Linked DNA regions of Saccharomyces cerevisiae S288C. The protein of the gene in region 1 interacts with the protein of each later gene in a pairwise test. Each region holds a gene or a part of one and is shown in the gene's direction. Other genes may lie near its edges. The genes, in order: SGN1 and RIE1.

Evidence for each region.
Region 2: the proteins of SGN1 (region 1) and RIE1 interact in binary tests that used the Saccharomyces cerevisiae proteins (3 or more experiments, as listed by UniProt).

The regions. Positions count from the first base shown.
Region 1 is NC_001141.2:355,489-359,020, reverse strand, and holds SGN1 (Sgn1p), read left to right. Parts: upstream 1-2,125; coding exon 2,126-2,878; downstream 2,879-3,532. Other genes in the region: MPH1 (3'-5' DNA helicase), read left to right, coding at 1-1,606.
Region 2 is NC_001139.9:990,568-995,401, reverse strand, and holds RIE1 (Rie1p), read left to right. Parts: upstream 1-1,880; coding exon 1,881-4,226; downstream 4,227-4,834.

The DNA.
Region 1 (3,532 bases):
AAGCGCACTTGAAATTGTGAAGTTCATAGACTCGGTAGCTGACGATCAAATCAGGCCTCATATTTTTATTGGACAAGCTCGTGCAAAAGAAGGTTTTGATGAGGTCAAATACACAAGAAAACATGCGCCAAAGGGAAGGAAGAAGGTAGAGAGATTGCATAGGCAAGAGCAAGAGAAATTTTTGGAAGCTGAACGAACTAAGAGAGCGGCGAATGATAAACTTGAAAGAAGTGCCAGACGAACGGGGAGCTCTGAAGAGGCTCAGATTAGCGGAATGAACCAAAAAATGCAAAAAGAGGTTATCCATAATTTCAAAAAGGGTGAATATAATGTTCTCGTTTGTACATCAATTGGAGAAGAAGGTTTGGATATCGGAGAAGTTGATTTAATAATCTGTTATGATACTACAAGTAGTCCAATCAAAAATATTCAGCGTATGGGTAGAACAGGCAGAAAACGAGATGGTAAGATAGTACTACTGTTTAGCAGTAATGAATCATACAAATTCGAGCGTGCTATGGAAGACTATTCAACCCTGCAAGCGCTTATATCCAAGCAATGCATTGACTATAAAAAATCAGATCGGATAATCCCTGAAGACATTATTCCGGAATGTCACGAGACATTGATCACGATTAATGATGAAAACGAAATAATTAATGAAATGGAAGATGTTGACGAAGTTATTCGTTATGCGACTCAGTGTATGATGGGCAAAAAGGTGAAGCCAAAAAAAGCCATAACAAAGAAGAAGAGAGTTCAGGAAAATAAAAAACCGAAGAAGTTCTTTATGCCTGATAATGTTGAGACCAGTATTGTTAGTGCAAGCACTTTAATTAATAAGTTCTTGGTGAATGAAAGTGGCGGGAAACAACTAGTAACGAGTAATGAAAACCCAAGTAAGAAGCGGAAGATTTTTAAAGCTTTGGATAATCTGGAGAATGATTCAACCGAGGAAGCTTCCTCCTCATTAGAAACTGAAGATGAAGAAGTCAGTGATGATAATAATGTTTTCATTGCGGAAGGGCAGAATGGATGCCAAAAAGATTTGGAAACTGCCATTATTCGCACTGGCGAAAGTCTTACCACACTCAAGCCACTTCATAATTTTGAACGCCCTAATATGGCTTTATTTGTGAATGATTGTGGTCTTCCAACTAAAATCGAGAAAAATGTGAAAGACATCCGAGGAAATCAACACAACCTTGAAAAAGAAAAGAGCTGTACTGTTGACAAGAATAACATGGTATTGAGTTTGGACGATTGGAATTTTTTCAGAAACCGCTATATCCCAGAAGGTGTTTCCTTCGATGTGGAGCCCAATTTTGTACAATACACCAAAGGGGTAAAAGTTCCGCATTGTCACAAAGTTTCAAAAATCATTACGTTATTTAACGACGAGAGTAATGATAATAAGAAGAGGACAATTGATATGAACTATACTAAATGTTTGGCGAGAGGCATGTTACGAGACGAAAAAAAATTTGTAAAAGTTAACGATAAAAGTCAAGTCGATAACAACAGTGTCAACCATGATTCATCCCAATCTTTTACCTTATCGAACGCAGAATTAGATGACATACTGGGCTCAGATTCTGATTTTTGATAGGAGACTCTTATACGTCGGCGTCTATACAAAAATAACGCTGCTGTAATATTTAAGTATTTATAGATTTTTCTATATATCGCATAAATACTTCAAGGACATTATATTTTTAGTATCAACTTATTTTCTTTAGAATTTTTCATTCATTAAGGATACGGCACTGTTTTTGAAGCAACAAAATATAAAAATTGAGCCAACGACGAGTACAATCTGTAATCTTCCACGCCTACCAATGCAAAACCTTTCTGTCATGAAGCACTAAGCATAGCGCTTCAATTTGTGGCAATCACCATAATAAACAGCTTGTTTCTTGGAGGATATGAAAAAGATTATCAATCATTCGTTAGGTGAAAAAAAACCGCAACAATTTCCTACACTCCGAAAAGTAACCTTAAAATGCAGCAAATTTCAAATTTAATTTTGATTAAGTAAGTAATCTCAACTTTCGCTCTCCAACCAGGCCTATTAACATAAACATATATCTGCTGTCACATAGTGTCATCATTTGCAATTGCTGTTATGTCCCAGGAAGAGAAAGTGGATGCTAAGGCAACCTTAAAGACTGAAATTTCGAACAATAAAAAGAACGACAAGCAAGAGCTCGAGCTGGATGAACTTGTGGGTAAACTATCTATCGAGGGCACTCCACAGGTGTCGCAAAAGCTAAGCAAGGAGGAAAAACACGCTCATCAACTTGAAGCTGACTCGCGTTCTATCTTTGTCGGTAACATCACTCCGGATGTCACCCCAGAGCAAATAGAAGATCATTTCAAAGACTGTGGCCAGATAAAAAGAATAACACTTCTTTATGATAGGAATACGGGAACACCAAAAGGCTACGGCTATATTGAATTTGAAAGTCCGGCATACAGAGAAAAAGCCCTGCAATTAAATGGAGGAGAACTTAAAGGCAAAAAAATTGCTGTCTCCAGAAAAAGAACTAACATTCCAGGATTTAATAGGCATTACAACTCGCAAAACCAGTATTTCCAACAATGGCAATGGAATTATCCCTTAATGGCCTACCCCAATCCCGATACCTTCCCTTATTACCCACCGTACCCTCCAAATCAGTCTCCAAATCAAAATTTCGGATATAATAAGAACAATTATTATAGGAGTCCTTACAATAACAAGAATAGAACCTTCCAAAAAAAACACTTCAACAGTGCCAAAGACTCTACAAAAAATATTAGATCTACTTCCCAAAAACCTGTTGTCATGCCGTCTGACAACGTTAAAAGTTCTACCCAAGAAAAAGATTCGAAATAAACACAAGGCTTTCATGTGTATACTTAATAATAATTAAGTGAGCTGCTGCTTTGAATAAGTTGAAGGACAACTGGTGTTATCTCGCTTGTCTATCCAAACCTTCAAGAATAGGGTAAATGCAAAAGCAAATATAAAATGCCACAACTACAATCAAAAAAAGAAATGTCATCGCTTGTTACAATATTTTCATTCCTTTATTCAAGGATTTTTTTTTTTAATTTTTCGTTAAAAAATATTGATCACTTTATAGGGAATATTATGTACCTGGCTACAGCTGAAGCTTGCCTCTGTATGTAAAGTATCTAAAATATATCAATTTTTTTTTTTGGATAACACCTGTTTTCATTACCCTGTATCTCGTATTCGTGAAAATAACTATTCTGAAGTAATAATTATAAAAAACATTTCGGAAAACAAAACCATTAATAATTTGTTTTTAATTTTAAATATCAATATTATAATAATTTATAATATTATAAAAATTTAATTAAAAATATAAAAATTTTCACGTGAATCATATGTATATATATTTTTTACAGAAAAAGTATCATACTTCTTATTATAATTGTCATTATATTTTTTAAGAGTGCGCAGCAGTCATTGGCAATATTCATCCGTTCGCAGTGACGCGTAAAAATACATAAGGTTATTGAA
Region 2 (4,834 bases), on another chromosome or scaffold:
CTTACTAAAAGGTTGATACATACATACTGTAACTAAAGCTGACGTTAGGAAATAAATATCTAAAACAAATGACAGCTATCGAACAGGCCAATTTAAGACGATTTTAGGTAAAAAAAATCCGGACCAAAGTGGCACGGCTTCTTTGTGTAAATGCCTTCCACTATTTTATTCAAGAGGTTGTAGGAAATGCCTCTCTTCAGATCTTCCAAACAATAACATTACATAACTGAACAGTGAAGGAGCATTCTGGTTTACTGTAAAAGTCTCCTCCTTGTCCCTCCTTGTTTTCCAATTAAGAAACTTTGTAGCGTCTAATTCATTGTAGTCCTGGTTCCTTGGCTTCGATCTTCTTTCAAAATACCAAAGCTTTTTTGAAAGGCAGTGTCTTAAAGATACTACGAATGTGGCTGCGTATCATATATGTATATGTATATATACAATTATATTCTATGTTTGAAAAGGTCGTTTTTCGTTCAGAACACTCGTATATCTTCGGCGGTTAGAAAAGATAGTGAAACTAAAGGAGGAGACTATAGAGACACTGCATTGTATTGAATAAACAAACAAGGCGACGACTCACTATTACAAAGTATTTTCATGGATGCAGCCCTAAATAAACCGTTGTATCTTATATCATTACGCTCAATAATCGTTAATGAAGAAGAAGGGCGGCTATTTTCGTAAATTACACTACAAACTTCAATTACATACGCAATTCTTGTCACATGCCAATGAGCACTATATCATATGCTACAAGCTCACATACACAAGGGTTATGTTTCCTTAGCGGCATATTTTTGAAAGTCAAAAAATGTGTACAACAGAGAGAAAGAGGAGGGCCGCAACAGCTTGAAGACAACAGATGAGAGCCAAGTTCGTATGTGGATTACGTCCGAAGGAATTGAACTTCCCAAGAGTAATGTGTACGGGACTGATCGAAATTCTCTCTTTTTCCTTAGAGCGTCTTTCTGCAGATCGCCACTACTATTCCTAGCGGAAGAAACAAAAGAACGAAAAAAAAAACACTAGCCTATGCAAAGGGGAATATAATCATATGGGAATACAAGGATTGTAGTACTTGCATATTGTTCCGGCCCAACCCATTTCAAGATCCAACTACTTCATGGTAGGAAGCACAGTTTTTACATTCCCGAGAAGCAGCGCCCGCTTATTGCCCCGATAGAAGCAAAAACACCGCAACTCGTGGTTACGGGGTAAGAAACCGAAAATTATTTAATCATCTACGGGGCTACGCTTTTACATAATCTCTAGAGTATTCTAGAGAATTGAGATGATTTATGTCTTTTCCCGGCTAACATGCAAGTAGAATGCGGATAAGCCTCATGGAGCGTGGTTGATTAATCGACACTCTCGGTATTCTCTTGTGTACGTACGATGTTTCTCCCGCTGATCCGATTACTAGCCGAAGACGTAAAATTGGCGCTTGATTCAATTTATGCCCTTCCCGGGAATAGTTGACCAAAGGGCAAAAAAATTCAGTCGGAGATTCCCTATTGGGCGGAATTTAGTAGATCTCTTTCCGTGCATAACGCCTGCCCGTTAGTCGTTATTTCACGTTAACATTTTCTTGGCCACTGCGCTATATAAATAAATACATATATATATGTCAAGCACAATAAAGAAACTTCCCTTAAATATTGAATAAGTAAATAATAGTTGAAAAGTGCCTTTTGTTCGAAGGATTAGAGTGTTCTTAATTTTAGTTCGTTCAACGGTCTCAAAAAAAGTGTGAACAAGTAAAGCATAGCACACATCCCAAATTACAAGGCACCCTGATTAAAAATCCAAAAATAAACCATAAGTTTTATTTTACTAAAAACATTATACGTGAAAGACAAACCGCATCAGAAGTTTCGAGGATGAATATTGCAGAAGAACCATCAGATGAAGTAATATCTAGTGGCCCCGAGGATACAGATATCTGCAGCCAGCAGACATCAGCGAGCGCAGAAGCTGGAGACCAATCAATAAAAATTGAAAGGAAAACTTCCACTGGTCTTCAACTGGAACAATTGGCCAACACAAATTTATTAACCATAAGAATAAAATGGCAGTTACAAGAAGAAGAAGATGATCACTGCAACTCTAGAATAACCGATCAAATAATGGACACAATACAGCACTACAAAGGTATCTCCGTTAACAACTCTGATACAGAAACATATGAATTTCTTCCGGATACAAGGAGGTTACAGGTTCTCGAACAAAATAAAGACATCTATCTTTACGAGCATGGAAGTCAAGAGTATGAGAAATCTTACAAAGATAACGAAGAGGAAGATGATTGGAGATACGATACCGTTTTGCAAGCACAATTCAAGTACCCCAAGTCATTAGAAAATGCATGTACAGATATCTCGGAATTACTCAAGAGCGAACCTATTGGTCAGCATATTGATAAATGGTCTATCGGTGTGAACAAGCATGCACTAACCTATCCTGGAAATATTTTTGTCGGGGGAATAGCAAAGAGCCTTTCTATTGGTGAACTAAGTTTCTTATTTTCAAAATATGGACCAATTTTATCAATGAAATTGATATATGATAAAACGAAAGGCGAACCTAACGGATACGGGTTCATCTCCTACCCCTTGGGTTCTCAAGCTTCACTTTGCATCAAGGAACTTAATGGAAGGACGGTAAATGGCTCCACACTATTTATCAACTATCACGTTGAGCGAAAGGAGAGAGAAAGAATCCATTGGGACCATGTCAAAGAAAACAACAATGATGATAATTTCAGGTGTCTCTTTATAGGCAACTTGCCTTATCACAATCCTGAAAAAGTAGAGACTTTGATTACACCTAAAGAAGTCATAGAAGTAATCAAGAAGGAGTTATCAAAAAAGTTTCCGGACTTTGATATCATTTCATATTACTTTCCGAAGAGAAGTAATACAAGAAGCAGTAGTTCAGTAAGTTTCAATGAGGAGGGGTCAGTAGAATCAAACAAATCTTCCAATAATACTAATGGAAATGCCCAAGATGAAGATATGTTGAAGGGTTATGGTTTCATCAAGCTTATCAACCATGAACAAGCACTAGCAGCCATCGAGACCTTCAATGGGTTCATGTGGCATGGAAACAGGCTCGTTGTTAATAAGGCGGTTCAACATAAAGTTTACAACAACCACAATAGCCATGACAGGCACCCTTCCATCAGTAACCACAATGATATGGAGGTTTTGGAATTTGCAAATAACCCAATGTATGATTACAATAATTATACATATGATAGATATTACTTCAACAATAATAAAAACGGGAACAGCAACGATACCTCCAATGTACGGTATTTTGATTCTGTAAGATCAACCCCTGTGGCAGAGAAAATGGATCTGTTCTATCCTCAAAGGGAATCTTTCAGTGAAGGTCGTGGTCAACGTGTGCCTAGATTCATGGGCAACAAGTTTGACATGTACCAGTACCCATCAACTTCTTACAGCTTACCTATACCAATGAGTAATCAGCAAGAATCAAACCTATATGTCAAGCACATCCCTCTTTCTTGGACAGATGAAGATTTATATGATTTCTACAAATCTTTCGGTGAAATAATCAGCGTTAAGGTCATTACTGTTGGGGGTAGTAAGAACAAGTATCGTCAACAATCGAATGATAGCTCATCAGATAATGATCTGCCAGTGGGATCATCAAGAGGTTATGGTTTTGTTTCTTTTGAAAGCCCATTAGATGCTGCTAAGGCAATTTTGAATACAGACGGGTATCAAGTGAGCAAAGATCAAGTGTTATCTGTTTCTTTCGCTCAGAAACGTGGTAATTTATCTTCAAGTGATGATGATGATCAATCCCAAACTGATAACTCATCAAAGTTCCAAAATTTTCAGCCACATAATGATTATCATAAGGCTTATCCAACAAAGTATAATAAGAAATTTATCAATGCCTTGATGACTCAGAACCAATCGCAACAGCAAGTCTCGAGGGAAAATTATTTCATACCACTGCAGTACCCTAATACCAACACAAAGCCCGTGAACAGTTACAACTTAATAAGTGCAAACCAAAATAACGCTAACTGGATGATGCCAATGTTCCCATCATTTGGGTTTATTCCACAGGTGCCGCCAGTGCCCTATATAATACCTCCGCAGAATCCTGCAGCAAATCATATTCCTATAATGGCAAACGGTAGTAATGAAGAGGAAGAATTTTCTAGTGGTGATTATTCTATGGACTACTAGATTGCATCAGGTCCATAAAATGTTTTTGTCTGCTTTTTTTTCTTCATGTATTAGTTGGTTTTTATTTTTATATTTTCATTTATCTTATTCATACTTTTTACTCCTTTTTTCTTCATTCTTTACGATCTTGGACATTCAACTAGCCTATGGTAACTTTTCTTATTACTTTGCCCCTCCTTGAGGTGAGTAAATTCTGCATCTATTTTTTTACTATGCAAAGGATAGATAAACAATTCACATGAATGTCAAAATTTTGAAAAACACTCATTATTCAAAAAGATTGCATAAAAAGATATACACTTAAAGTGCAAGATTATACCAACTTTCAGAATACGGAGAGGTTTTTAAGTGGATGAGCATTTTTTCATAACGTTCTAAAACGATATTTACAGTATTTGGTGGCTAAATGAAAAAAAGCCGTATCATGACTGTGCTAGAGAAAGTGTGGCAGTTACATAAATCAAAAGATACAATTTAGGTGCGGCCTCTATAGCCAATGCATGCTCACTGAATAGCACAACAAATTTTTGTTTGGCTAAAGCGATATCCTTTTCGACTTGCAGTTCCACTGCAAGTCGAGTATATTTCGGCAGACAATGTCATTCAAA